Lonchura striata: one gene and its partners. The protein of the gene in region 1 purifies or fractionates together with the protein of each later gene. This does not show direct contact. Links are inferred from orthologs where the notes say so. Each region holds a gene or a part of one and is shown in the gene's direction. Other genes may lie near its edges. The genes, in order: BAG2, DNAJB1, HSF2 and CEP170.

Region 1 (7,191 bases):
AAGTTTCCTGTAGAAATTCTTAGTTCAAGGGGTTTGGTGCTCAGTAGTAACAATCTGGGTCAAATAATATGGCCTGAGATAATTCTAAAAGTGGATGTAAACAAGTCAGAAAATTTATGGCAGATGGCAAGAACATGCCAAGTGTGTACTTGAACAGCAAAGCTCTGCATGCATAGAAATTTAATGTAAAGTTCCTTTTGTAAATCTGCAAATTGGCTTTCACTGGCTGCAACATCCTAATTTCTGGTGGCCCTTCCCTTTGCTTTTCAGCTCAGAGCTCCACTGTCAATAGACTGAGCATCTGCAGCTGTACAGAATGCACTGCCTCATTTAATCGTCGACTGCTCAAGTGAGAATGAATTGCTGCATGCCCCAAAATGGTCATAGCAGCTCTCAGATTGCCCCTGAGACAGAGGACTTAATTCAGACTTCTAACCAGCCTGGGACCTCAGGGCTTGCCTACACAGTAAAAACTGCAGCATGTAGAGGCAAACCCAGGCTAGTTTTAATAGCATTGGTAAGAGCAGCAGTAGAGACACAGCAGCACAGGTTCAGCAGGTGTGAAGTGAGGGGGCAGCCTACTGTGATAGCAGATGTGTTTTGATGGAAAACAGCCTGAAAAGTCAGGTTGGCCCATCTTTATTGCTATTGTTGCAGTGCCGGAGAGGCTGCAGGCTGGTTTTGGTTGGCTGGCCTGAGCCATGGATGCATCCTTCAGCCATGTCTGGGAACTGCTGCTTCCAGCAGAATACCTGCTCACAAGGAAGGTTCTTAACCACCAAATTGTTTGGGTTGGAAGAAACCTTAAAATCATCTAGTTCCAGCCTGCTGTGGAGAGGGACACCTCCCAGTAGACCAGTTTGGTCAGAGCCTCTTTCATCCTGGCCTTGAACACTTTCAGGAATGAAGCATCCACAGCTTCTCTGGACAACCTGTTCCCGTGCCTCGCCACCCTCACAGAAGAGAATTTCATCCTAGTATCTAACGTAAACTTCCCCTCTTTCAGCTTGAAAATACTAAATTCCTGTAGATGAAGACAGGAAAATAATCCTGCATGGCATTTCTTGGGTGTGGACTTTCTCTTTGATCCTCTTCCATGACAGCTCATGTGTAAGTATTAGGGTATGTGACAAGGCATATACCAGGATTTGAAATAAGGCAAAGCTGGAACTAAGGTGCTGTTTAGTAGTGTTACAGTTTGCAGTGCTTTTGGTGTAGGTCATCTCCCTCGCTCTGGGACTTTTACATCAGATGTCTGAGACCTGGAAAAGTTGCTCTTTCTGCTGTCTCAAGGGACTTTGTGCATGTGAATGAGACTTCTGTTCATTGCTCTATTTTGTAATCAGCACCCATTCTTTACAATGCTGTAGTTTAAACAAGAGACAGCCAATGTTTTCACTGTTGTGATGGGAATGCAGGAACAATGGGATACCCACTCTCTTCTTATGTTTTTGCTGGTGCCCATAGTGAGAGCAGGTCTGTGCAGTCCTTCACATGACCACAGATGTGCAGACATGGGAGGAGACAGGGATGTAGCATGGCTTCACCAGCAGCCCTGAACATGCTTCACCAGTGATGGCAAGGAGGAGAATTAAATCCTACCTTTTGTCCTTAAAATTCCTCCAACTCAGCTGTGAATCACATTCCTTCCTGCAGGGATGCACTCCAATCTTTCTAGACCAACCAGTTATTATTTTGGAAAATTGATGCCAATTGTCCCTTTACATACCTCAGCAAAAATAGAGGGGGTGGGGGCAACTTACTCTAGAGAGCAGGAAAAGCTGTTTTCAAGGTCCTTCCAAGCCTCTGAAAGGGAAAATATCCCAGTTTTTACAGGCAGTAATTTCAAGACTTGTCCTGGAAGACTATTTTTACTTTTAAATTTGCATTTTGTTTCCAAAGTTTTGCTATTCCTCCTTCTTGTGTAATGTCCTTTTGTTGTTAAAGAGGGTAAGTAACGTGTGATACATTTGGACACTTAGAGCTGTTCTGCGCCTCTGATTCAGCTGTTGTGACTTCTACCTGTGTGGAATTAAACCCCTACTTACGTGTGGAGGAAAAAAGTGTTCAGAGCTGCTCAGCTACTTTGATTTCTGCTTTTTAAACCCAATCTAATTGAAGCTTAATAAATTGGCATGGGATGAATAGAAGGATCCTAGGAAATAAATGGTAGCAAACTATGTGTCATGGCTACAAATGGGTTCTGTTTGGGGTGGGAAATGGTTTTTAATTATCTTCTATAGAGACTGTAGAGAGATGGATGGAACAATTGTTCAAATGAAGCTATTTCCATGAGCTCACAGGCAACGAGCCTTGCTTATCCAACCATGTAAAACAAAGAAAACTCAGGCAATTAATTTAACGAGAGTACTCAGGACATGATATCATTCTGAATGGATGAGCCTGAGAAAACAGCTATTTTGAATCACAGCAGGATAAGCATACAAAACAGTGTCCCTGTGCAACAAAATCCCCCTTAGCTGGGTGCCAAGAATTGGTCTGTTAGAGCCATGGGGTATTTGCCCAAACCTCGTCTTTTGGGATAAGCAAATTCCTTTTTAAATACTCACAGTAGTGGTAACTAAAACTTATGTGTGACTTGAATTGCTGGTGCTTGTGAGAAAGAAGGAACCGTTTCATACAGGCAAATTAAATACGTTCCTGGGACAAGTCATTACTAGATGTAGATCAACTACCTTGGCTACCATTAAATAGATATATCTTTTCTCTCTGGCATAGAAAGAGAATACAAACCACTTTTATTTCCAGTAAGCTTTTTTTTGTAGAATCTTACAATAACAGCTGGTGAAACAGCTGCTTTTCTGCAAGTAGTAGGGGGCTCTTGCAGTTGGCAGGAGAAAGATGCACTATAAGTAGCAGTATAGCAGTATCCAAAATACCTTTTTTTTTTTGTTGTTGTTGTTTTTTTTTTAGGAATTTTGTTTAGGTTCTGCTTGCACTAAGGGCTGTCTCTGGTTTGACTTCTCTCTCATGTCAAGCTTCTGGATTTTTAAAGCCCTTTATTTTTCCTCCTCCCTTTTTTTGCACTTTCCACTGTTTTCAGTTTTGTAGTTTACTGTTTAATTAGCCTTAAATAAAAATAACCTTTGGGTAGTTGTGGGTTTCTTGTTTTCTTTAATGAAAGAGCAAACCAATGAACCAGCCACACAGACCAGTTCTGGAACACAAAGCCTCATACCAATAGCTCCCATCTCCCTCACAAAGCTAATACAGATATCGAAAGCATCACTTTTCCTCCCTTCCCGGCTGGTCCAGGTTTTGTTGCTTTTGCCACAAAGGGGAGTGGAGACTGGAGCAGGACAGCCCAGGCCTGTGCCCCAGGCGGTGCCAGCGAGGAGCAGGGCAGCAGAGGCTGCCGTGTGTCGGCCAGGGGCCGGAGCGCTGCGCGGCAGGTGCGGTGACACTGCGGTGACACTGCAGTAACCCTGCGGTGATACTGCGGTGACCGTGCGGTGACCCTGCGGTGACACCGCAGTAACCCTGCGGTGACACTGCGGTGACCCTGCGGTGACACTGCGGTGACCCTGCGGTGACCCTGCGGTGCCGGGCACTGCCGGGCACTGCCGGGCACGCTCGGCTGCGCGGCCTCAGCCCCGGGCGCGGCCCCGCCGGCCCCGTGGCTGTGTGCGAGGGGGCAGAGGCGGGAGACAGGGAGCTCCTGGGGCAGCGAACCCAGCCAGGGGGCTGGAGAATCTCTCGTGCCAGGAATGCCCGAGGGAGCTGGGTCTGTTCAGCCTCGAGAAGGGGTGACTGAGAGGGGCCCTCATCAATGTGACTGCGTACCCAAAGGACGGGTGTCAAGAAGACGGAGCAGCCTCTTCTCCGTGGTGCCAAGTGATAGGACAAGAGACGTGGGCAGAAACTGATGCACGGGAAGGGAAGTTCCACCTGAATAGGAACAACTTGTTTACTGTCGAGGCGATCGAGCAGCACAGATTGCCCAGAGAGGTTGTGGAGTGTCCCTCGCTCGAGAGGGGGCAGGGGCCGGCCCGGCTGACCCAGCGCGGTCCCTCCAGCCCGGCCCGCCCGGCGGTTCCGCTGCCCCGGGGCGGGGCGGGGCGGGGCGGGGCGGCCCCGCCGCGCTGCGTGAGGCGCTGCCCGCGGGCCCGGCGCGGGGGCGGGGTGGCCGCGGGGCCGGCGGCGGGGCGGCTCCTTCTTTGGCCATGAGCGAGGTGCCGGCATTCGGCCGCCGCCGCCGCCTGCGGGACGCGGGGAGGGAGCGGCCGCGGCGAGGCTCCGCCGGCGGCAGCGGCGGGTGGGATGGCCCAGGCCCGGATCAGCGCCAAGGCCAGCGAGGGGGCGCCGCAGCAGCCGCAGCCGCAGCAGCAGTCGGGCGGGCAGCTCCGGGGCCGCTTCTACCGCTCCACCTCCATGGCCGACCGCTCCAGCCGCCTGCTCGAGAACCTGGACCAGCTGGAGCTCAGGTGGGGCCCGGCCGGGCGCTGGGGGGCCGGGAGCCGCTGGCCCTCCCCCGGCTGGGGGGCGGTGCGAGGCTTCTGGAGGGGACCCGGGGGAAAAGGCTCTCCTTCATGGGGGACAAAGTTTAAAAATGGGAGCTACTGCTCAAAGGTGAGTTAGCGTGGCCTGGCAATACACGAAAATAGGAATAGCTATAAGAATGTATGAAAGTGGACGTTTTTCAGAGAAAGCGCGAAGGGCTGTTTGGGATTTGTTAACCCTTCAGGGCGCGGGGAGCCTTTAGACGGGGCTGCGCTCTGGAGCTGTGACACGGCGGGGACGAGCCCGCGCTGCATCCTGACTGCCGTCCCACCCTGTCCCCCTGTCCCGCACCTGCGGGCAGGTGTTTTATAGGGAGATGCAGGAAATCCGAGGATAAAACATGGTGTCATTCAGGCTCTCGGAGACTTTGGCAAGCCTTTAAGCTGCAGTGCTGTATGCTGGCGTGTGAGGCTTCTTGTCTTCCAAACCTCCCTTCGCACTTACTGGTTCAGCTGTGGATGTTCTTGTAGTGTTTGTGTCTGCCTCCTCTCTGAGGTGTATTAAAAAGTGTCACTATAAAATGTGAACAGCATTGCATTCTGCAGCTGAGGCGTGTTTTTCCAAAGTTATTGTAAATACTATGTGAATTTCATAATTGTGCCAAGACACGTCCTAACTTTTTCTGCTACTTGACGTTCCCTAAATAATACCATTTTACTTTTTTCCCAGTTTGGCTTCATGAGAGATGATACCTTGCCTTTAATCATCTTCCCTGTCCTCTCAGCTCTGCTAAATTACATAGTGTCCTTTCTGAGGTGGATGGATGTGCAGAATGCCACTGATTCACCTCCTCTGGTACTGTTTCAACACACCCTTTCCTTCATTACAGCTGCATATTGATCAGCAGCTTTCATAGAGCCACCCAGAATGTTTCTAGGACTTTCCTGTAATTAAAAGAGCTCTGTGGGATGCAGGAGTTTTATTTCCCCTTTCTGCCTGCATTACTTTGCATTATTCAGGAGTGGACTCGATGTGCTGTTATATTAGCCTTTCACTTAGCTTGATTAAATCTCCTTGAAGTCCTTTGCAGACTTCTCTGAATTTGACTAAACAAAATCACTGTCTGCAAACAAGTCTCACTGCTTACATCCAGGTCTAGGCGTATGATGAATATATAATCAAAAAATTAGCATGAGAATATGCAAAAATGTGTTTTAGATTTGCTGAGTGACTCTGAAACAAAGCAGACAGTTTGGTTAGCCAGCAATTAAACCCTCAATTAAACTTCCCAGTTTGCTGTGGTTCTTTCAGACAGCCATAATTCTAAATGTGGAATAGTAATGAGAAAAAAAAAAAAGTCTAATTTGATAAAAGTCACTCAAGTCTTACAGTTTTTTCCTATTCACAACTAATCAACATGCTTCATTTCAAATTTATTTGAATGACAGGAGGAAAAACTTCCAAACTTTCTCCTTTTCCAGCTTGTTTGGTTTTGCTATAGACCCTCAAGATGTTGCTTGTTAATACAACCAGTGAAAATTTGTCAAACTGAACTACAGCCTTTAATTAAAACCCTCAACAATCCTCAGTTCTCAAGTTGCTTAAGGTCAGCTGAACTCTGAAGCAAGCCTCATCCCTCTGGAAGTCACAGGATCACAGAATGGTTTGGGTTAGGAGGGACCTTAAAGGTCCCCTAGTTCCAACCTCCTGACATGGGCAGGGGCACCTTTCAGTAGACCAGGTGGCTCAAAGCCACATCCGGCCTGGCTTTCAACACCTCCAAGTGTCCACAACCTCTCTGGGAAACCTGTTCCAGTGTCTCACCATCCTCATAGTGAAGAATTTCTTCCTAATACCTAATCTAAGTCTACCTTCCTTCAGTTTAAAGGCATTGTAAACTGCTCCAGTTTGAACAGCCTTCCTTTTCCTCCCTTTCTTTCCACTGTGAGAGCTCATTTTCCAACAGTAATGGGGTATTTTTGTACCTCCCTGATAGGTGTTTGCTGAGTGCATTTCTTCTGTATGGAAAGTGAGCAGGGAAGGGGAGTTAATTTGGGAGGGAGTGCCCGAGGCAGAGGTGGTGAGCCGGGCAGGTGGCACGTTTGCCCCTTGTAAGGGCTTGGACCTTCGTGTGGCTGTGACTGCCAAGATATCTCAGGAGCAGCTGGAAGCCAGACCAGAAGCTCTGTTTATGAGTCACTGCGTTCTGTTGGTTGTGTAAAGTGAAAACACAGTTTTAGGTGTGATGATACACGAGGTAAGTAAGATTCTTACTGGGTATTTTTTATCTTCATTTTTTGTACTTCTTGTCTTGTTGTTTGGATCAACCCTGTTCCGCCACCATTCATTTCAGTGTTCACAGGACGGCTTACCTGGGAGTGGACACTCAGCTGAAGAAGCTGAGGATGCCAGGATGAAACCCCCTGTTTTGTCTTCTTCCAGTGTGCCTGATTAGCTCTATTTCAGGAAAAAAAGCTGCTCCATTCTCGGATGTTTCTTATTTCCTTTGAAAGCTTATCTGGACCTCCAGCACGTGGGTTTTAATAGTGGGCTGTTTAAGTCAGTCATTAGTTTAAAGGACACAGTTATTGCAGCTGTCCTAAGAAAGCAGGTGTCAAGTTTCTCATCTGGAAACAAAAGCACAGCCTGGTCCACCTGTTTCTCAGGGGAATGCTCTGCTCATGTAAATGGTATGTAGCAAAAAAAGGCATTGCTCAGATAATTGCTCAC
Region 2 (7,147 bases), on another chromosome or scaffold:
CCCATATCCCCCCATGTCCCCATGTCCCCTCCTGTCCCAATGTCCCCCCATGTCCCCAATATCCCCCCATGTCCCCATGTCCCCCTGTCCCCCCATGTCCCCAATATCCCCGATGTCCCCATGTCCTCCTGTCCCCCCATGTCCCCAATATCCCCCCATGTCCCCCTGTCCCCCGCTGTCCCCTCACCTTGTCGAGGAAGCAGAGCTTCTCCCGGCTGCGGGCGTCCAGGATCTCCACCTCGAAGAAGAGCACGGCCGATTTCTTGGGCCGCTTGCCGGGGGCCACCGCCGGCCACAGCGCCGGGCCACCCTCGGGTGCCACCGCCACCTCCATGCCACCGAAACCCGAGCGGCCCCGCCAGCGCTAAATATAACCCGCCCCCCCTTGGTGGCCCCAAGGTGGCCCGAGGTGGCCCCGAGGTGGCCATGAGGTGGCCCTGGAATTGGCTCCGAGGTGGCCCTGGAGGTGGCCCCGGGCTGGCCCTGGAATTGGCTCTGAGGTGGCCCTGGAAATGGCCACGAGGTGGCTCCGAGGTGGCCCCGGGCTGGCCCTGTGGTGGCCCTGGAGGTGGCCCCGGGCAGGCCCCGTGGTGGTCCCGGGGTGGCCCTGGAGGTGGCCCCGTGGTGGCCCCGAGGTGGCCCTGGAGGTGGCCCCGGGGTGGTCCTGGAGGTGGCCCTGGAGGTGGCCCCGGGCTGGCCCTGGAATTGGCTCTGAGGTGGCCCTGGAAATGGCCACGAGGTGGCTCCGAGGTGGCCCCGGAGGTGGTCCCGGGCTGGCCCTGTGGTGGCCCTGGAGGTGGCCCCGGGCAGGCCCCGTGGTGGTCCCAGGGTGGCCCTGGAAGTGGCCCCGTGGTGGCCCCGGGGTGGCCCTGGAGGTGGCCCCGTGGTGGCCCTGGAGGTGGCCCTGGAGGTGGCCCCGTGGTGGTCCCGAGGTGGCCCTGAGGTGGCCCTGGAGGTGGCCATGGGGTGGCCCTGGAGGTGGCCCCAAGGTGTCCTTGGAGGTGGCCCTGGGGTAGCCCTGGAGATGGCCCTGGAGGTGGCCCCGGGGTGTCCCTGGAGGTGGCCTCGTGGTGGCCCCAAGGCGGCCCTGGAGGTGGCTCCGAGGTGACCCCGGGGTGGCCCTGGAGGTGACCCCGGGGTGGCCCTGGAGGAGCCACCGGAGCGGTGACGGTGGCAGCGCCGGTGGCGCTCAGTGAGGGGGGACAGCGGGACCCGTCCCGGGGTCACCGCGGCCCCTCCGGGCTCTGCACCTGCCCGGGACCCTCCGGGACCTTCCAGAACCTTCCGGGACCCTCCGGGACCTTCCGGGACCCTCCGGGACCACCGGGAGTCCCGGGAGCCCAAGCCACGCCCCCTTAATAGCCACGCCCCCTTGACAAACGCCACGCCCTCCATAGCCCCGCCCATAGCCAGCTCGCCCTCCCGCCGCGCATGCGCACATCACGACGCCCACCGCACATGCGCGCAGCGCGTCCCGGGCGCCCCGGGGTGGAACGCGCGGGTTCCGCGGCGCCGCCGCGCTGCCGCCGTGCGGGGCCGGCGGCGGCGGCGCTGGGGGCCGCTCCGGTGGCGGTGTCCGGGCCGGGCCGCGGGCGGCGCGGCCGCCTCACCTCGTAGTGCTTCATGGCCGCTGCGCTCCGCCGCTCCCGCCGCCCCCGCCGCCCCCACGTGACCCGCCCCTCACGCCGGCGGGGGGGCGGGGCCCGCGGCTCGGCCAATCGGCGGCGCTCGCGTGGCTGGGCGCGGCCAATCAGGAGGCAGCGGCCCCGCCCGCGCGCTCGCCCCTTCCCGCCTCGGCGGTTGCCGGGGCGACGCGAACGCCCGAGGGGGACTCCGCCAATGGGAGGCGGGGGCGGGGCGTGGAGTGACGGCCGCGGCAGCCAATGGGATCGCGGAGGGGGTGGGGCTGAGGGTGGAGTGATGGCCTGCTCGGCCAATGGGCTCGCGGGAGGGGCGGGGAGTGGGAGGGGCAAGCAGCGCATGGGGGCGGGTCTAGAGGGGTCTGAGGGGTCTGGGGGGTCATGGGGGGTCTGGGGGGTCATGGGGGGTCAGGGTGGCCATGGGGAATGGAGGGGTCAGAGGGGCTGGGGGGGTCTCAGGGACTGGGGGGCTGCGGGGTTTGGGGGGGTCCGAGAGGTTTGGCGGGGTCCGAGAGGTTTTGGGGGGTCTGGGGGGCCATGGGGAGGGGAAGGGTCACAGGGACTGGGGGGATCTGGGAGATCTGAGAGGTTTGGGGGGGCTGGGAGGCCTGAAGGGTCTGGGGGGCCATGGGGGTTCTGGGGGGGTCATGGGGACTGGGGGTTCACAGGGACTGGGGGGCTGCGGGGCTTGGGGGGGTCCGAGAGGTTTGGGGGGGTCTGGGGGGGTCTCAGGGACTGGGGGGGTCATGGGGACTGGGGGTTCACAGGGACTGGGGGGCTGCGGGGCTTGGGGGGGTCCGAGAGGTTTGGGGTGGTCTGGGGGGGTCTCAGGAACTGGGGGGGTCTCAGGGACTGGGGGGTCCGAGGGAACTGGGGGGGCTGCGGGTTTTGGGGGATCTGAGGGGTCTGGGGGGTTCCAGGGGTCCGAAGGGTCACAGGGGGGCTGGGGGAGCTGGGGTGGTCGTGGCAGGCTGGGGGGTCCCGAGGACACGCGGGGACACCGTGGGGACACCGTGGGGACACCGTGGGGACACCGTGGGGACACCATGGGGACACTCTGGGACACGGTGACCGCGGGGCCACGGGGACAACGGCGTGGAGGGACCTGTCCCTCCCTGTGTCCCCGTGTGCCCGTGTCCCTGTCCCCAGTGTCCCCAATGTCCCCAATGTCCCCAATGTCCCCATGTCCTCATATCCTCCCCGTTCCCATCCCCGTTCCCGTTCCCGTCCCGTTCCCGTCCCGGTCCCTCCCGGCACCTCCGCCGGTCCCTCCCCGGCTCCCGCCCCGTTCCCTCTCCCGGTTCCTCCGCCGATCTCTCCCCGCTCCCTCTCCCGCCCCTTTCCCGACCCCTCCTCGTCCCCCCCGCTCCTTCCCCGGTCCCGTCTCCGGTCCAGCCCCTCCTCGACCCATCCCCGGTCCTTCCTCCGGTTCACTTCCATTCCCGGTCCATTCCCGGTCCAGCTCTGTTCTCCTCCATCCCTCGGTCCTTCCCCGGTCCATTCCCGGTCCAGCCCTCTCCTGCTCCATCCCTCGGTCCTTCCCCGGTCCATTCCTGGTCCAGCCCTCGGTCTCTCCATCCCTCGGTCCTTCCCCGGTCTCTCCCCGGTCCATTCGCGGTCCCTCCCCGGTCCAGCCCTCGGACTCTCCATCCCTCGGTCCTTCCCTGGTCCCTCCCCGCTCCCTCCCCGGTCCATTCCCGGTCTATTCCCGGTCCAGCTCTCTCGCACTCCATCCCTCGGTCCATTCCCGTTCCATTCCCGCTCCATCCCTCGGTCCATTCCCGTTCCATTCCCGCTCCATCCCTCGGTCCATTCCCGTTCCATTCCCGCTCCATCCCTCGGTCCATTCCCGGTCCCAACCCCATCCCCATCCATTCCTCGGTCTCTCCCCGGTCTACCCCCGGTCCCTCCCCATCCATCCCCGTCCCTCCCGTTCCCTCCCTGTTCCTCCCCGGTCCCACCTGGTCCCTCCCCGTCCCTCCCCGGTCCCACCTGGTCCCTCCCCGTCCCTCCCCATCCCTCCCCGGTCCCTCCCCATCCCTCCCCGTCCCTCCTGGTCCCTCCCCGCTCCATTTCCATCCCTCCCCGTTCCCTCCCCGTCCCTCCCGGTCCCTCCCCGTCCGTCCCCATCCCTCCCCATCCCTCCCCCATCCCTCCCGTTCCCTCCCCATCCCTCCCCCATCCCTCCCCATCCCTCCCCATCCCTCCCGTTCCCTCCCCGTCCCTCCCGGTCCCTCCCCGGTCCCACCTGGTCCCTCCCGGTCCCTCCCCATCCCTCCCCCATCCCTCCCGGTCCCTCCCCATCCCTCCCCCATCCCTCCCGTTCCCACCTGGTCCCTCCCCGTCCCTCCCCATCCCTCCCGGTCCCTCCCGTTCCCTCCCCATCCCTCCCCCATCCCTCCCCGGTCCCACCTGGTCCCTCCCCGTCCCTCCCCATCCCTCCCCGGTCCCACCTGGTCCCTCCCGGTCCCTCCCCATCCCTCCCCCATCCCTCCCCGTTCCCTCCCGGTCCCTCCCCGCCCCCCCGCCCCTCGGGGCTCCCTCGCCGTGCCCGTCCCGCGGAGTCTCTCGCCGTGCCCGGTGCCAGAGCAGCGGGGCCGGCCATGGGCAAGGATTATTACCGCACGCTGGGGCTGTCCCGGGGCGCCTCCGCCGCCGACATCCGCCGCGCCTACCGGCGGCAGGCGCTGCGCTGCCACCCCGACAAGGACCGCTCGCCCGGCGCCGAGCAGCGCTTCAAGGAGGTGGCCGAGGCCTACGACGTGCTCAGCGACCCCAAAAAACGGGAGATCTTCGACAAGTACGGGGAGGAGGGTGAGCGGCGGCACCGGCGGGACGGGGGCGGCCGGGACGGGGGGCACGGCAGGGGCGGGGAGGGGAGCGGGGCTCGGGGGGTCCGGGACCGGAGGGGATTTGGGGGGTCTGGGGAGGTCCGGGCCGGGGGGCTGGGGGACACCGGAGGGGATTTGGGGGGTCGGAGGGTCGGGGGGGGTCCGGACCGGGGGGTTGGGGGACACCGGAGGGGATTTGGGGGGTCAGGGGGTCGGGGGGTCCGGGCACGGGAAGGGATTTGGGGGGTCGGAGGGTCGGGGGAGGTCCCGGCCAGGGGGTTGGGGGACACCGGAGGGGATTTGGGGGGTCAGGGGGTCGGGGGGTCCGGGCACGGGAGGGAATTTGGGGGGTCAGAGGGTCGGCGGGGGTTCGGGTCGGGGGGCTGGGGGACATGGGAGGGGATTTGGGGGATCGGAAAGGGACAGGTGATGGGGACAGGTGAGGGGGACAGGTGACAAGGACAGGTGACAAGGACAGGTAAGGGGGACAGGTGAGGGGGACAGGTGAGGGGGACAGGTGAGGGGACAGGTGAGGGGACAGGTGAGGGGACAGGTGCCAGGGCCAGGTGCCAGGGCCGGGCCCGTGGGTCGGGGGGCGCGGGCATGGCCAGGGCAGGTGTGACACGCACCGGGCGGGCGGGGGGCTCCGGGGCCGGTATCCCACGGGGGTCTCCGGGGCCGGTATCCCCCGGGGTCTCCGGGCTCGGTGTATCCTACGGGGGGCTCGGGGCTCGGTGTCCCCGAGGTCTCCGGGGCCGGTATCCCCCGGGGTCTCCGGGCTCAGTATCCCCCGGGGTCTCCGGGCTCGGTGTCCCCGGGGTCTCCGGGCTCGGTGTCCCCGGGGTCTCTGGGCTCGGTGTCCCCGGGGTCTCCGGGCTCGGTGTCCCACGGGGGTCTCCGGGCTCGGTGTCCCCGGGGTCTCCGGGCTCGGTGTCCCCGGGGTCTCCGGGCTCGGTGTCCCCGGGGTCTCCGGGCTCGGTGTATCCCACGGGGGGGGCTCCGGGCTCGGTGTCCCACGGGGGGCTCCTGGCTCGGTGTATCCCACGGGGGTATCCGGGCTCGGTGTCCCACGGGGGGCTCCGGGCTTGGTGTCCCCGGGATCTCCGGGCTCGGTATCCCCCGGGGTCTCCGGGCTCGGTGTCCCACGGGGGGCTCCGGGCTTGGTGTCCCCGGGATCTCCGGGCTCGGTATCCCCCGGGGTCTCCGGGCTCGGTGTATCCCGTGGGGGGGGCTCCGGGATCGGTGTATCCCACGGGGGTCTCCGGGCTCGGTGGATCCCCCGGGGGTCTCCGGGCTCGGTGTATCCCGTGGGGGGGGCTTCGGGCTCAGTATCCCCCGGGGGTCTCTGGGCTCGGTATCCCCCGGGGTCTCCGGGCTCGGTATCCCCCGGGGTCTCCAGGCTTGGTGTCCCCGGGGTCTCCGGGCTCGGTGTCCCACGGGGGACTCCGGGCTCGGTGTCCCACGGGGGGAGCTCCGGGGCTCGGTGTCCCCGGGGTCTCCGGGCTCGGTGTCCCCGGGGTCTCCAGGCTCGGTGTATCCCGTGGGGGTCTCCGGGCTCGGTATCCCCTGGGGTCTCCGGGCTCGGTATCCCCCGGGGTCTCCGGGCTCGGTGTCCCCGGGGTCTCCGGGCTCGGTGTCCCCGGGGTCTCCGGGCTCGGTGTCCCCGGGGTCTCCGGGCTCGGTGTCCCGCGTGGCGGCCCCGGCGCCGGGCCAGCCGCCCGGGGGTGGCCGCCGGGGCGCCGGGGCGTGCCGGGGGGAGCCGAGCCGGCCGGGCCTGTCGGAGCCCGTCCGGGACCCGTCAGCGGCGTCGGCGGCGCGGGCAGAACCGGTTCCCCCACGCCCTCGTCCGCTCCACGCCCTGCCCGCGGCTCACCCCGGGGTGGGGTCTGATGGGTGCCTGGGGTGCCTTCATCCATCCCTCACCACCCTCCAACCCATCACCCCCCAAAAACCTTCAGGGCTGAAAGGGGGAGCCCCGACCCCCGGACCGGGTGGCGGCACCGGTCCGACGTTCACCTACACCTTCCGCGGCGACCCGCACGCCATGTTCGCCGAGTTCTTCGACGGGCGCAACCCCTTCGACACCTTCTTCGCGCAACGCAACGGCGACGACGAGGATGGAGACGAGGCCTTCAGCACCTTCCACCTGGGCGGCTTCGGCAGCGTCAGCTTCCCGCGGGCCCGGGGCGCCGAGGGTCGCCGGCAGGACCCGCCGGTGCTCTACGAGCTGCGCGTCTCCTTGGAGGAGATCTACAGCGGTTGCACCAAGAAGATGAAGATCTCCCACAAGCGCCTGGGCCCCGACGGGAAGACGGTGAGGAACGAGGACAAGATCTTGACCATCGAGGTGAAGCGAGGGTGGAAGGAGGGCACCAAGATCACCTTCCCCAAAGAGGGCGACCAGACGGCCACCAACATCCCGGCCGACGTGGTGTTCGTGCTGAAGGACAAGCCGCACGACGTCTTCCGCCGCGACGGCTCCGACATCGTCTACCCGGCCAAGATCAGCCTGAGGCAGGTCGGTGGTGGTGGTGGTGGTGGTGGGATGGGGGTGGTGAGAGGTCAGGGTGGGTGGGCTTGGGGACATCAGGATGGGTGGGCATCATGGGGACATCACAGATGGATCGTCTTGGGGACATCAGGGATGGGTTGGGGACGTCAGGATGGGTTGGGGAC
Region 3 (7,440 bases), about 25 Mb from region 1:
TGGATTTTTTTAAAGGCACTAAGTTTATCTTGAATGCTAGCTCAACTAAACAATGCTATAGCTTTGTTTAGTTGAGTTTAAAATATATATATATATATATATTAAATTATATAGTTTAAAATATAACTTTTCCAAGTCTGTAACTTTTCCTCATATTACAAGAAAGCAGTCTTTTAAGAAACACTGAGCATTTTCAAGGTGTATGGAAGATCTTGTCTAATTGGGAAGGTCTGTTTCAAGTATTCCTCACACATAAGCAAACAAGAAATGGATACCACTTCTGTGCCATTTGCAAAGCAAGCTGTCTTGGAGGGTTTATAGTCAATATGAATGTAGGTCTGAATTTTCCTTTCAAGAAAGAAAAAATACTGATCATGAATAGTAGTTGGTTTCAGTTATCATAGCTTAATTTTAAATATACTGAGGGGAACAAAACTTACCAAAACTTAATTTTAAAACTTGATGCCAGCCTTTGTTTTATCACTGTCTATTAAATATCTGGTGTGCTGCCTGTGCCATCTCTTCTTCCTGTAGAGAATAAGAAGGCAAATGAATCACTCAGCCATCTAAAACACTGTGTGGTACTTGAATCAGATGCACAAGGATGGCATAACACTAACTGAATGGATATTACTTTGGAAGATTAATTGTCCTTGGGTGACTTTACGATGCTGAATTGTATCCCCATTTGTCTGTTTAACCCAGAAATAAGTATTGCACTTTTAAAACTAGATCTGAGAGTGAAGTGGGGGAAGAATGAAGAGCAGTGGAATGTCTGAGGTGGTTGTTTTCAAAACACACCTTCAGTGTTTTTCTCTCCTGGACTGTGTTGTCTGCAGCGGGAGAAAGCTCTCCTTTACTTTTTATTTAGTTTTTTTTTTTTAGCTAGCTGAGGCACTGAAGTTTCCTGGATTATGTTTTTTTCTTTTTCTTGGAACTGATCAGTCCTGCTCTGGACTGAAAACCCAGAAGAGCACCAGTAGTTCACAAGAGTTGCCCATCAGGACCTGGGACGCAGCATTTTCCAGTGCAGGAGGGACTGATGAGAAACTGAGCAAAGTGAGCCCACAAGTACTTTCTGAATTTGCCATCTCTTCAGAACAACAAGAGGTTTTATTGTTTAATGTTATTTATTTATTATGCTTGTTCATACTTTGTTTGTTAAATAAATAGTTTTTTCCACTTTTCTCCAAGGAAATCTTTTCCCGAACCACATCGGGGAGGGGCTGCTTGGGTTTGCTTTCTGGACAGACCCCATTTGGAGGTTTCCTTCTAAATTTGCCCTAAACCAGAATATTAATCTCTATAGAAGCTCTCTGAAATGTCATCTACCTTGCCTACTCTAGCTGTTTTCATCATAAATACAGATATCTCATACTATCCTTGGTTCAAAGAGAATTGATTTAAAGCTAGGCCTCTTAGGGCCACCTTTGATTCAAGGAGATCCTAGTATGTGCAGAGCTGGGACTTCCAGGAACACTTTCAGTTATTTAAATGGTATAATAATTTTTTAAAGGTGGAAGGCTTGGAAGTCTTGCATCAAATTTGGCTATGAGGTGCTCTGCAGTGCTTGATCCAGGATGGCCTACTTGTGGCTGGCTGCCTGTGCTTGTTCCAGGGGTAACATTTGTGCAAGTTCAGTGTCTGATTTGTCTCTTGCTTTCATATGGATCGATACAGATGAATCAATAAAGATAACCTTCATATGCTGGCCTTTCAGGCAGGACAAATTGTGGTTGCAAAAAGAGGAAGGTATTGCCTTGAAATCTGTCACCCTGCCTTTGTCTCTCCTGTCATTTTCAGGCTCTTGTTTTGCATCATGCTCTTTGTCTTAAGGAAAATCTGCAGACTGCTATCCCTTGGGGAGTTGACTCAGGCTTAACTCAGGGTCTGTTGCAACTGGAGTTCACAGTTCAGAGTTAAATGCACTTCAGACTTAAAAAGCCAGACCAACAGCACAAGCAGGGCTGCTGTCCCCTTCTGCATATCCCATTGTAGGGGAAGAAAATAGGAAGGCAAAGAAGATAGGTTAATTTCATATCAGAAAAATATTGTTACATGGGGGCTGCTTTATGACCCCTACTTGTAAATGTACTGTGGAACAGGGTCCCCATCCCAAATTATTATTCTTAAAGCACATCAAAACCAGACTATCAGTGGCCAAAGCTCCTATAAGAGTATGGGAGTGCTATGGGGCTGCCTGCTGCTCGAGCATAAGACCAGTGACGGATGCAATTTTTAGGCATATGGGATGTCAAAACAAACAGTGATATGAACAGCTATCTAACTTTATTCTTTGGCCTCCTGCCCAGATTTGAGGTGCCGCTAACTATGTAGCCTCTCCGTGAAAGCTGTAGAAAAAAAAAACATTGGAAATCAGATGTTTCCTGTTGGCAGTGCTCCCTTAGTTCCCAAGCAACAAGGTCTTAGTTGGAACTCTGACATTTGAGGGAACTATGGGCCCAAGGGAGGGAGAATGAGGCTCAGGAGGAACAGAATCTAGTGGGGCTTGAGGGGTTAGTTCAGGGATATGGGAAGAGATCTGAATTCCCAACATTTCACAATACATTAAGAGTTTTAAAGTGTTATGTTTTTCTGGAGAGGGGAGGGTGAGAACTGCATCATGGAAGATTTAAATAGCTTGACCTGTCTCAGAGCTGATAATTACCAGATTTCTGCAAGCTAAGTGGAGGAAAATTTTACTGCAGTGTGGAAAAAGATTACAGCACTGCTTATGAAGATACTGGGAAGTCAAATAGCCCCAGATGAGTTTTGCAATGACTGGATTGTAAAACAATGTAATCAAAAGCTTTATCAACAGGGACAAGCAATTACCTTGTGCTCAGACCTTGTAAGACAATGAAATAAAAACCTAATAGAAGCCTTATTTGAGTTGTACATTGCTAACACTTTATGTTAAGTATTAATAAATAACTTCCAATTCTTAAGCTTAAGGCTTCAGAAGAAAACCTTTTTCCTAAACTGAGCTTTAAAAAGAAAGCTTTAAAGATTTGCCTCAACTGTAAGACATTGGAAATCAACTTACAGAGCAGTCTTTTTCACCATGGTGATGTCTACTAAGGAAATGAAAAAAATAAGTACATGGTTCCACTTCTGTCTCAGCCAAAGACATAAATATAGGGGTTTGCCTTTTGAAACACTGTCCAACAATTCTGCAAATCAACTTCTATTTTCAAATTGAAGTTGTAAACAAGAAATATAAGATGCAGAGCAATACTGAGTCCAGATTAAGTCACAATCATATTCTTCTCTCTGCTTTTCTAGCATTTCTATGTAGATTAATGGAATCCAGTAAAAGCTTGCTGCACATGAACGTCAGGATGAAAAATTACTTGGAAAATTACTGTAAATTTGTGTTTAAATTCAAAAGGCATTTATATGAGTTTTTTAATTCCAAATATTGACCCTGAAAAGCTGAGCCATGAACTTAGCAACCGTGACTTCTTTCAGGAATGATCCAGTGAATGTCACTCAAAGGGTTTGTTATAGGCTCCGGTAAGCTACTAATGATGTGACAAAAGGGACCTTGTGTGATATACAGCTTGAAACAAATATTGAACTTAATTTTCCTGTCGGCTACACGGGCTAAAGGTTCTGTTATCTTCCCTGTGCCATTGTGATTCGTTTTCACTGTAAATTGCAGCAGATTAAACTCACTGCGATTCTTTGAGACTTGAGACATTTCAACAAATATTAGCAACACTACTCGTCAATGGAGGTTTGTTGTGAAAATAGTAATTTTAGTTCCATAGAACAAATTCTTAAAAAGTAATATGTGATTAAGTTTTGCAAAATACTTGTGAGAGGATTAAAAACAAAAACAAAAAAAAAAAAGTGCATTTCACCATTCACTAGGCTGTTTTCCTTGAGATACTCAGTTTCATTTTTCAGTTTCAGTAGCTGGTAAGTCTGAATTCTAAACACCAGTTGCCTTGCAAAGGGGTCTGCTTAGGGCCTGCCTGAGATGCTTTTGGGGGGAGCTGGCTTGGGTGCTCCTGTTGTGCATACGCCCTGCGTACTCATGTTTTTGAGCTGGCTAGCTATTATTCAGCGCTCTCCCGGACGGCTCGGAAACGCTAGGCTGGGACACGGCCTCAGAAGGCCCGTCCCGGGCACTCGCCCGCCTTTCTTTCCCTGGGACACGGGAAAGGAGCGGGAGCGGAGCGCTCCCTCAGCCGCGCCCGCCACGCGCCGCTGCCCCGCGGGGAACGTGCGCCCGCGCGACGCGGCCCCGCCCCCGCCGCCAGGCGCGCCCCTATTGGCTCCGTCCCCCCCCGTGCCGGCGCTGTTGTGACACGTGAGGGCGGCGCACGTGGGGACGTTATGTAAGGCGCGGGGGGGAGGGGCGGGGCCGGCACGCGCGCGCGCTGCGGGGCCGCCGCGCATGCGGGGTGGGGGGTGAGGGGCGGGGCCAGGCCGGTCTGGTTGCGCTCCCTCCCGGACAGAGGCCCCGGCGGCTCCCGAGCGACAATGAAGCAGCAACAGCAGCAGCCGCTGCTGCCGCCGCAACCGGCGCCGGCCCCGCAGCCTCCCCTGCAGCCGTCGCCTCCCTTCGCCAGCCCGGGGGTCCCGGCCTTCCTCAGCAAGCTGTGGGCTCTGCTGGGCGAGACCCCCAGCAACCAGCTCATCACCTGGAGCCAGGTCGGCCGCTCTCCCCCCCGCCCTCCCCCCCGCCCGCGTGTGGCGCAGCCCCGGAGCCCCCGCCATCACCGGCGCCATCGGGGCCTGCGGGGACCTCGGCGTGCGCCTGCGGAGGACGCAGCATCAGGGCACGGCCACATGGCTGGCTTGGCTCGGGCCGCGCTGAGCTGTGCTGAGCTGCTCGGCAGAGGCCGGCTCGCTCCAGCCCTCAGCCTCTCCCTTGTTTTAAGCGTGGAGTAGGAGCTGCCGTGCCCGCCCTGGGGCGCGTCCCAGCACCCCTGCGGAGGGTGGGGGTGTTTGTGTGGCGGCTCTGACTGAGCAGGCTCGGGCGGCCATGGGGGTGGGAAGGGGCCCGGCAGCCGGAGGGTTTTGGCGTGCGGGGAAGATTTCCCATCGCGGGGTGGTGGGTGCGCCAGGAACGGGGCTCCGGGAGAGCTGCGCCAGGTGGGAAGAGCGGCGTGCTCAGGCCTGGTGGCGTTTGCTGCGTGCTCCCGCGGGCCCGGATCCCGCAGGGGCAGTGGGGGGCGGCCACGTGGGAGACGGCCGGGGCTTCCCGGGCTGGGTGTCCACCTGCTGGGGTGGCGGGAAGGGGATGGGCCACGGGGGAAGTCGAGTATTCGAATTGGGCACCAGTCTTCTTACAGTGCAAGGAAGGACTGGCAAGTTGCTACAGTGAGCATCCTTGACGGTTGTGCTAAAACCTAAGCACATATTTTGATAATTGCTGCTTCATTTTTTCCTTACGTGCTGCTTTCAATAAAATCTTGTTCTCAAATCGTATCAATTTCTTTAAGTACCATTGAGTTAAACTCAGCTGAATGCTCCTTATTTTAAATGCTCTAGAAATAATGAAATGTCGTAAGTATGTTACTGAAAATTATTTACCTGTACCTTCAGCCAAAACTTCCCAAAGAGGGAAGCAGGAGGCTTCAGTAGATTACGGCAGCTTTTCTTTCTTTTTTTTCGTTTTGTTTTGTTTTAGGGTGGAATTTTTTTGTGGTGTTTTTGGAATTTATTTGGCTTCTTTTTTCTCTGCTTTTTTTGTTTGTTTGTTTTTTGGGGTTTTTTTGGAAGAGAGATACTAAAGGCTCTATGAAAATTGGTATTGTCTACATTTAAAAATGCTGTTTTTGCTGCCCTATGGTTTTAATGGAGAATTCCCAAATCCATTGCTTATGTTTATCTCAGGTAAACATACAGATACCTGTTAGGTATCCTTGTGTTAGTTTTTTTTAATTGAAACAGTAAATTGTTTGAGATTCTGCAAGGCTGTTTCTAGGGGGGAAGGTCCAGCTATCACAGTTGATATTATTAGCAACCAGCAGCTCTTGTAGGGGTAGGTATTGGGATTACTTGTGATATGGGTGAGGAGTACCAAGTGAAGCACTTGGAAGACTGCTGCATGCTGTAGCCATGGGCACTAGGAGCTGACAATCATATTTAGCTGTGTAGTGGAGTTTACAGGCTTAGCATCTGTACGGCTTTCCTGTAAATGACTGTCAGGGCAACAGGAGCTCGTGGATGTGTTTCCCAGATTCTTATGTGCTAGGCCTGGACAATGTCAAAGTGATGATAAAGTGAGGAGTTGTCTGTTGGTGTCCCAGGTCACTCTAGTGTCACCTAGTTCAACACCTTCACTTTGTGAATTTCACTTTGGCTAAAATAGTTTGTTCTTGCTGTTCTTTTGCTTCTTCTTTTTCTTCCACTGATTGATTCTCAGCAGGAGATAGGTAGGCATTACTGGAAGTTTTAATCTCCCTACCTTCATCTCAGTGTTAAGGCTTAAGTCATCCAGTGGAGAGTCATTTGTAACATCCTGTTTCTGATGCTCCCTGCTGACTTGCTGGAGCAAGCTGTTGTGGTTTAACCCCCGCTGGCAACTGAGTTGAAGTACATCTCGGCCACTTGCTCACTCCCCCACACCCTGGTAGAGAAAGTAAAACTTGTGGGTTGAGATAACCATTTAGAACTGAAATGAAGTGAAGTATATGATAACAGTAATAAAACAGAACTGAAACACAAGAAAAACAAATGCCCAGTTCAGTTGGTTACCACCTGCAGGCCTGTACCCAGCCCATCCAAAACCAGCAGTTGGCCTTCCTGCTGGATAACTCCCCCAGTTTATATATTGGGCATGATGTTCTCTGGTGTGGAATATCCCTTTGCCCAGTTTGGGTCAGCTGTCCTGGCCATGCACCTTCCCAACTTCTTGTGCACCTGTTTGCTGGCAGTGCTTGGGAGGCTGAGAAGACCTGGACTTAGGGTAAGCACTGCTCAGCAACAACTAAAACATCAACTTATTATTAACATTATTCTAGCACTGAATCCAAAACTTAGCACTCTACCAGCTACCAAGAAAAAAAAAATAATTCTATCCTATCTGAAACAAGGACACCCACCTTTGGGCAAGAACCTTCATATGGTTCTTTAAGCTTCTTAGGATCAGAGAGCTGCTGCCATTTGAGGATAAGAGAAGTGACTCATTAAAATTAAAAGACTTTTTAAAAAGATGCAGGAAAAGTGTTGACATTTATTGAAGATAAGACTTTTTATTAACTACAGGGTGAGAGTATTGCAGATGTGTAGACAAAACCTAAACCATTTTTAAGTAGATAATTTGCATTCTGCCAGTTAGTTGCCCTGTAGTTAAATGGAGTGCAGTCATTGAAGAACAAAGAGCTCATCCTTCTATTTTAGTTAAAGCCTGTAGATTAAATAAAATATCAGTCTTCCCTCACAATTGGCATTCCAGAAGGGGAATCTTGCTTTAGGTGGCTA
Region 4 (7,930 bases), about 58 Mb from region 1:
CTGACAATATAATTTAATTTGGACTGATGTGGATTGAAACTTCAAAAAAAAAACTTTACTATTAAGCCCTTTGGTTTTCAGTGTTTAAAGGATCTGAGATAATTATGAAAAAATGACAAGCTAGCACCCAAATTTGATGGATCAAACTCAATAAATTAAAAAAAAAAAAATCAGTGTAAAAACAATTTGCCATTGAAGTCAAAACAGGAAAAAAACCCAGAAGGCGCTGAACTTGTTTAGCATTGCCCAAACAAGAGATGTTTTCTCAGGCACTGCACAGCACTCTTTCTAAAGAGTACTCCTTTAAATGAAAGCACCAAAGCTACCTCATTCATGGACTTGGAAATGCCATAGAAAATACTCTGGGAGCAAAAGAATCAATCATCCAAAACAACAGAATTGCCTGAAAGACATGGAAAATAACTCCAGCTGCTAGAATCATTAAGCAGCATACACTGAAGAAAACAAACGGCAATTCCATGAAAAAGTTATCATAAGTCTGTCACCCAAACCTAACAGTCCAGTTCTAATAATGTCTACAAGAACATGAAATTACTGGCTATAAATTCAACAAACAAGCATCACTTGCTGATATCTCATGGTTCCCAATCAGCAAACAGCCTTAGAAAATTAGAGAAGGAATCACACTGATTCTTTATGTCTTAAAAAAACGCAAAGCAAACCACTGTAAAATTTTTGTGAAACAGTAACTGACAAAACAGATAGACACACTAGTGAAAGCAAAAAGATCATAGCCATTTTAAAAAAAATTCATGTCCAAAATGAGATCAACTTTCTTCCATTGACAGCTAAAAATCTAAAATATTATACCATATATCTTTCAGTCAAGTAACTGCTGAAAAATACTGAAACTGAGAATTTGGTTATAGGGTTTTTTGTGTTTAGAACATCTTGGAACTTACTTTACTTCCCATTCTGACATCCAGCTTTTCATTCCATTCTTTATTGGCTGCCAAACGCAGGTATGCTACCAGGAAAGTAGCACATTATATGGGAGTTTTGAGACTAAAAATATCCTGTCTATCACTACCTGTACTGCTAGGATTTTACATGCAGCAATGAGCAAGACCAGCCTGTTCATCAGTCAGGCCTCAAAAGATCCCGATATGTGAAATGCACAGCTGTTCCAAAGTAATAAATCCTTCTGATTTGGTTTCTTGTGTCACCCTGATTCTTAAGATTTTCTAAAGCCTTCTGAGTTTACATTCTGTTAGAAAACTTTCCCACACATTTTCTATAAACAACATATTGTTTTGCATTCCTTCGTGGGAGTGGAGGAAGTTGATGTACTGGTGGTTTGTTCAATGTCTTTGGAGAGGTGGCCCATTCACTCTCCAATCCACTGTCACCTTTGGAAAAGTATAAAAGTTGGAGTCAGAAAAATAAACCCTCTTCTTTTTTACCTTGTCATCGTAGTGGCTCGTGTTGTGCTTTCTTGTGTCCTATAGCGACATTCTTGGTCTCTTTTTATATGAGAAATAGGTAGTTTTCAGCATAACTTTTACCAAGCTATTATATTTAAAAGCACTGTTACAGCAGTCATTGTTACAAGTTCCTACACCAGCCCTTTCTGCAGAGCATAAAGCATTTGCCTAAGTTCTAGAAACCCTCATATACGAAAACCTCATTGCCAAGTTCCTTGTGGCAGATTCTCCACCTTTAAAAGAACATTTTATGTTCGGAAGAATACCTAGAAACACCTGCCAAACAAAAATAAAAGCCTAAGCAAAAAATCATTAAGAATGTATTTCTAAGCTGCTTCAGTATGACAGCTAATTTGTAGTGATAGAAACTGGGCCACATAAGATGGCTTTGACTTCCCATCTCTCCTGTTTTATTTTTGGAATAACAAAGAACAGCCACAAAATGAAACTTTATTCCAAAAAGTCTTATCTTGTCATCTGTTTCTCTTAGGGTTGGTATCTCCATTCTCTGAAATTATGTAGTAGGACACTGCACTCAGCAATGCAGTGGAATACAGAATGTAATTTTCACAATACCCTAAGACAGACTTGAGATAGACAAGTGTATCAGGCTCAGTACCTAAAAAGGATTGCTTGCCCCACCTTTGTTCCTGCACTTATAATGGCTCAGGTCCAACAGTGAGTGAGCGTTCTTCACTCAAGAGGCAGAAAACTCAACATAAAAGTATAAGCTAATAGTTCTCTGTTCAAGAAAGAACTGGACTCTAAACAGCCTTCACAATTTACTGCTGTTAGGAGAAAAGGGGAAAGTCACAGGAAGGCATCATGCTCTTTTCTTGGCAGTGGTATAGTAGAAGGGCCATTGGACATTTACACTATACCTGTCAATTTTCAGTTATTAACACGAATACAGCAACACACCACTTATTATCATTTAGAAAATACTTCTACTCCCTTGAGAAGACTTTTTATTAGAAATATAATCTCCTAAAGTTTTTAAGGTTCATTTGAAATGGTCTCAATTATATGAAAGTTTATGCAGTAACCTAATAACCCCAACTGTACAAATACCACCCTCTTGAGTTAGAGTTACACATAGCATTAAAGACTTTCATTATACAAGGTCAGGAAAAACTACATTATAGAACCTTTGTTATTTATCAAAGCCTATCTTTTAAGCTCTAAGACCAGGTAGGTCTTAATCAGGATTTTTTGGTCCAGCTTTCTGCCCTCTGGCAATCAGACTCAGTTTACTGAACACTCAGGCTCCCCATCTTCTGAGGGATTTCCCTTTGCAACAAAGGACATTGCCCTGAAATAATCAGCTGCTCTTTGAGAACTTAAGCACCCTTCCATCAAACTGAGTAAGGCAGTAAAGTGATTCTTCTGGTATCCTGCATGGGTGGTGAAAAGCCGTTGCTATGAGCTCGGCCTGCATCCAGATAATGTCAAGCATTACATTATTTCAAAAGCATCAAATAATGCCCAAAGCATGCCACGTAAAATTGCAGAACCTGGATGACAGGGTCATCCCAATGGGGACAAAAATCTCAAGTTGTATAACTATATAAGAGAAATAGGTAAAGCATTAGATTTGACAGCTTTGAGAGTAACGATGATGTTTATCCTACAGTGAATTCCTAACACTGCTAGTAATGATGTGGAAAATGCTGTACAGCTTAAAGGAGTTAAAATTGCACATCACTGAGAAATAAAGAGGTTCTTTGAGAAACACCACAAAACTTGAGTTATATCGCCCTGTATTGGGGCTGTTTGTGCATCACCATATCGATTTCTACATGAGAGGCACCCCGAGATGCATGAGATCAAAACTACCTTGGCATTGTATGGAAAGAAAATTCTTGTGTCCAAGAATGTAAAGGGGAAAGGCTCACCAGAAATTCAGGTTATGAATTTATTTAACACATATAATGGATCCAGTGTAAGGAGATCCAGTCAGAAAAAAAAATGAAAATAAGTTGTATGAAGAGAATACATGCATCCAATGTATCCATTAGATACAGTCAGCTCTAATAGGCTCACACACAGTTAAACAACCCTGATATTAGTCATTCTAACTGTTCTGCGATAACTGTTAACTGCAAGTGTCAAGTAGCATTACCATGTCCATTTCATCTACAGGAGAAGTAGATAGAAATTATTCCTTAAAGTTCTATCTTGTGGAACAGAAGAGATCTATCGCTAATATAAGGAACTGATGCTCCTTTGAGATGGAAGTAAAAAAAGATTTGCTGAGAATCAAGTAGCTATTTGAAAATGTTTCTATTGTTTCTTTCTTCTTTTTTGCAATGTTGTTTTTTATGGCACAGGAAACATCCCAACATGCCATATTGGGGTACTGTGCTCAGAACACAACTTTTCACACCAGTAGGTTCACATACCCACAAACTATCCACTGGCTTTCTTCAGAATTTGGACATTTGCCTTTGCCCAGTCAGTGACAGTGTGAAGGCTGGTAAGCCTAGGTGTCACGGCTGACAGATTCAGGTGCTCTCTGTCAGGCTATACACCACGCTTCTTGGACAAAGTGTCAGGTATGAAAACACTCAATGATATGGGAAACAACCACTCTCATTAGAGTCCATTTGTACACTCATCTTTACCACGAAAACCGCACCCGAAGCAGCAGCGGTCCTGCCCGAGGAGCGTTACGGTGACACGAGCGCGTGTCACAGCGCCTGTGATCGGGGGTGGGGACAACCAGCCCAACTTCCCCGCTGCGCGCTCGTCCCAGCCCGGCCCGGGCGCTCCTCGGTCCCGGGCGGCGGCTGGGGCAGCCCGGCCTCGCCCCGCGCCCGTGCCGCTCACCTCGGAGGCGCCTCTGGTATCGCTCCAGGGACTCCTCCAGGGCGCGCTCCCCGCGGGGCGCCCGCATCAGGACGCCGCTGGCTGCCGGGCAGCAGCCGGCGCTGTCTCCCAGCACCGGGGGCTCCCCGCGGGGAGGCTGCGGGACAGTAGTTCCACCCGTTCTACCTTCCCACGTTGAGCTCTCGGAGGAGACATCTGCGGGGGTCCCTCCGGCTCCTGGTGGCCAACCGTTGCCGTCGGCCGCCGCAGCTGAAACTAGCAACGCCAGGAATCCGTCGCGCTTCCCGATGGCGGGAATGCCTCCGCCAGGACTACAAGTCCCGGCATGCACCGCGCCGCCGGCGGCAGAGTTCCCGCCCACCGCCCACCACCGGCAACCGGGAAAGGGTGGTCGCCGCGAGCCGTATCCCCTTTGTTGTGGATCGCGGTCGCAGTCGCGCCTGCGCACAGCACAGCCCGCCCGCCTACGCCCTCAGGCCTGCAGCGAGCTCAGCACCGGTCCCGGCACGGCAGGGGCGGATCGGGGCGGGAAGCGCCGTTTACCTCCCGCCATCGCCCGCGCGGGGAGCGCCCGCAGCTCGGGGAACGCTATTGTCTGCGGGCCGCGCAGGCGCAGCGCGGCCCCGCCGGCCGCTCGGCCCCGGCGCGTGCGCAGTGCGGCGCGGTGCCGCGCCGCTGTGCCGTTAGCCGCCGCTATGTGCAGGGAATAACGCCGGGGCCGTTGCCAGAGGGACACCGAGCGCTCCGCCCTCGCTTCGCATCCCGCGGGATGCCGGCTCGCTGAGCACCCGCTAGCGACGGCCCCTCCCCGGCGCGCGAGCCTCCTCGGAGGGGTGAGTGAGGATGATGCTGCCGCCGCCGCCCTGCGGGTCGGGCGGGAGCCGCGGCGGGGAGAGGGGCTACGGTCGCGCCGCGGTCCGTCCGGTGCCTATTGTGTCAGGAGGTACCGCCCGCCGGGACCCGGGCGGGCTGCGGCCGGCGGAGGGGGAGGTAACACGGTCTGTGCGCAGCTCGCTCCCCCTCCCCTGTCCCCGCCCGGCCCGCAGGTTACTCCGCGCCCCCGCCTCCCTTTCCCCTCGTCAGCGCGGGGGGATCGCCGGTGGCGGGGGGTCATCGCCTCGGGCGGGACGCGGACGGCATCCCACGTCTGGCATTTGGTGCTGCTGGATCCCGCTGCCCGCGTCTCCCTGCCCCTTTCCGCCCGCGGGGCGCCTCGGCACACCCACCCACCCAGCCCCGGGGCTGCGCAGCCCCCCCTCCCGCGGGTGGATTTCCGCGATTCCAGCGGAGACGTTTCCAGAGGTTTAATTTTTTTTGGGGGGTGACCTTCTTTCGCTCCCTCCCCGGGGCTGGAGGCAGCGTGTTTCTCCGGATTTAAAAATCAGTGACGTCCTTCGTCTGGGATGCGGCGTTTCCCTTCGTCTCCTTGAAATAATGTCTTCTGTGAAAGGATGATGGAGAAAAACTGTGGGTTTCACCTTTTCTCATATTGCGTATTTCCACCATACGAGTCGGGTCCCCTGCTTCCGAAAATATCCTCCCGAAGGCGTGAGCTTTTCCTTTTTCGAGGCGCTTCCCGGGAAAAACATGAAATCGAGGTTTTTGTCCCAGTGGCGAGGAGCAGCCCGGGCCCACTTTGTGTGCCCGCCGTGGAGACGAACGGGTTACTGCGCTAACAAAAACCCGATGGCGATTTTCGAGCAGAAAGCGGCGTCGCAGCGGAGGAAGCGGGCGGGAGGGGCGGGGACGCTCCGCGGGCAGCGGGGCCGTCCGCGCCGGGAGCCGGGCGGGCACGGCGAGCGCTGCTCCCGGCGCGGGCGGCCGCGTTCTGAGCGCTTTTTCAGCATAAGCCGACAATTAGCCCACCAATGCTCGCGGCTTGGTGGGAAAAAAAGAGACGTAGATGGTATGCTGATGAGTTGTGTGTACATAAGGATTGCTTTATTGTGACAAGGGATTAGATAGCATCCGCTGATCTGCACTTGGAGGAAATTATTTTCTTCCCTGTGAAAGCAAAGGTACTCATAAAATATTTAAGTACTTTGAAAGAATAAAGCCTGCTCTGGCGCTGCAATGATCATCTTTTCTCCTTTGGAATGCCATTCAAGGCTTTGTGACAGCGTTCTTGGCCCTGGGCTTGTGTCTGCAAAATGATATGTGGGATGGGACAGTTTTTGTAAACTGAACGGAGACGACTGCATATGCTGTGATTTCCTATGATTAATTTCCTCTGGGAATTACTTTATGTCCAGATGCTGAGAAGTCTGTCTTGCTGAACTCTACTGATATGGAAGCTCCTCAACTTTAAATTTGATTTAACGGGGAAAAAGTTAAACAGAAACACTGCAAAGAATCTCCCTTCACTCTTAGATTATCATTTTTTTTAAACACTTTTTCACCTTCATGTAAGTGTTCTGTTTTTGTTGGCTTTTTTTTTCCTTTGTCTGGTGGAGGTTAGGAAGGCTGGCTGAATAGAGATAGTAGTGCAGCTCGGATACAAAGAATTTGTCAAAATCTCAAGAATCTTGAAGTTACTTGAAATGGATCAGATTAAAATGCTTTCTTTAATTCTTTTGAAGACAAACCATCTGATTTATAAGTTGTTACTGTTATAAATGAGAATTTATTCAGCCAGATTAAAAATAAAAATAATTTTATAAGTGGTCGAATTCTATCTAGCCAGCCACAGAAAAAGACAGTGCTGAGCCCAGGGTTGGCCCTGGGTGTGCAACAAGGAGTCAGCCTCAGCAGAGGTTTTTCCCTATGCCCACACACCTCCATCCTGGCACAAGCGGTTTTTATAGGGAAAATTCTGCCTGAGGCCAAGATTTCAGCAATCAGTCTTTTCTTCTATTCAGAGTCCATAGGTTAATAAGATTTTACTTTTTTGGTGATGAGGAGGAGTAATTCAGTGTCCAGAGTAGGTGAATCCCTGATAAGATTTACGGGAAGGCTGTATTCACATGTATCTGTCTGAGGATTTCCATGATATCCATCTCGGGTCGCTTATGCGATGATCAGTACCCGATGATCAACACCTGGAGTCCCGATGGTCAGCACCTGGAGTCCAGACATGGCCCATCTCCTGGCGAGCCACGTCCTTTTACTTGTAAATCAGTTTCCAATATACACCCAGTCTCGCCTGCAAAGGGGGGGGGGGACGGGACAGGGGGACTAATACAAACAGGCATAATCTAACAAGTATCCAATATTACATATTTCATACAAGGAATGGTGCGAATTATATTTACTACACATAACATTACCAAACTTTGGCATGACAGTGCATTGTTTGGGGAGTGGTTTTGACATATGGCTATTTCCCATATCTAGTCTAACTCTTGAAAAAAAAAAAAAAAGGTTATTTCTATATTGACTTTCATCTGCTGTAATGGACTTGACAAGCAAAATTTCTTAAAAATTCTGTTGATAACATACAAGCCAGAAAAGCTCCAGCTTATGAAAATGAACTGGAAAAGTCTATGTTCGGTTGTAGTTGTTCCTCAAATGCCTGGAATGAAACCCAAGGCATGAGTAGTTGCAAAAATTGATTTTGCTGTACAGTTTCCAGTTCTTGGCATTGCAGGGAGAAGGTATACCATAGTATCTTCTTGATTCTCTTAACAGGGCAGTTTCCATGTTAGCACTGCTTTTCT

Evidence for each region.
Region 2: the proteins of BAG2 (region 1) and DNAJB1 purify together in Homo sapiens (affinity purification with mass spectrometry; 4 studies listed by BioGRID and IntAct, with this or other methods). This does not show direct contact. The link is inferred for Lonchura striata from reciprocal best matches to the Homo sapiens genes BAG2 and DNAJB1.
Region 3: the proteins of BAG2 (region 1) and HSF2 purify together in Homo sapiens (affinity purification with mass spectrometry; 4 studies listed by BioGRID and IntAct, with this or other methods). This does not show direct contact. The link is inferred for Lonchura striata from reciprocal best matches to the Homo sapiens genes BAG2 and HSF2.
Region 4: the proteins of BAG2 (region 1) and CEP170 purify together in Homo sapiens (affinity purification with mass spectrometry; 3 studies listed by BioGRID and IntAct, with this or other methods). This does not show direct contact. The link is inferred for Lonchura striata from reciprocal best matches to the Homo sapiens genes BAG2 and CEP170.

Annotation. Positions count from the first base shown.
Region 1 is NC_134605.1:89,198,155-89,205,345, reverse strand, and holds the start of BAG2 (BAG family molecular chaperone regulator 2), read left to right. Parts: upstream 1-4,188; 5' UTR 4,189-4,281; coding exon 4,282-4,445; intron 4,446-7,191. UniProt on the Homo sapiens protein: Co-chaperone for HSP70 and HSC70 chaperone proteins. Acts as a nucleotide-exchange factor (NEF) promoting the release of ADP from the HSP70 and HSC70 proteins thereby triggering client/substrate protein release.
Region 2 is NC_134623.1:2,238,492-2,245,638, reverse strand, and holds the start of DNAJB1 (dnaJ homolog subfamily B member 1), read left to right. Parts: upstream 1-4,147; 5' UTR 4,148-4,243; coding exon 4,244-4,454; intron 4,455-6,429; coding exon 6,430-6,989; intron 6,990-7,147. Other genes in the region: TECR (very-long-chain enoyl-CoA reductase), read right to left, coding at 188-428. UniProt on the Homo sapiens protein: Interacts with HSP70 and can stimulate its ATPase activity. Stimulates the association between HSC70 and HIP. Negatively regulates heat shock-induced HSF1 transcriptional activity during the attenuation and recovery phase period of the heat shock response.
Region 3 is NC_134605.1:63,803,459-63,810,898, reverse strand, and holds the start of HSF2 (heat shock factor protein 2), read left to right. Parts: upstream 1-4,422; 5' UTR 4,423-4,491; coding exon 4,492-4,662; intron 4,663-7,440. UniProt on the Homo sapiens protein: DNA-binding protein that specifically binds heat shock promoter elements (HSE) and activates transcription. In higher eukaryotes, HSF is unable to bind to the HSE unless the cells are heat shocked.
Region 4 is NC_134605.1:31,172,626-31,180,555, reverse strand, and holds the start of CEP170 (centrosomal protein of 170 kDa), read left to right. Parts: upstream 1-4,912; 5' UTR 4,913-5,107; intron 5,108-5,752; coding exon of another isoform or gene 5,753-5,780; exon of another isoform or gene 5,781-6,069; intron 6,070-7,930. Other genes in the region: SDCCAG8 (serologically defined colon cancer antigen 8), read right to left, coding at 4,275-4,341.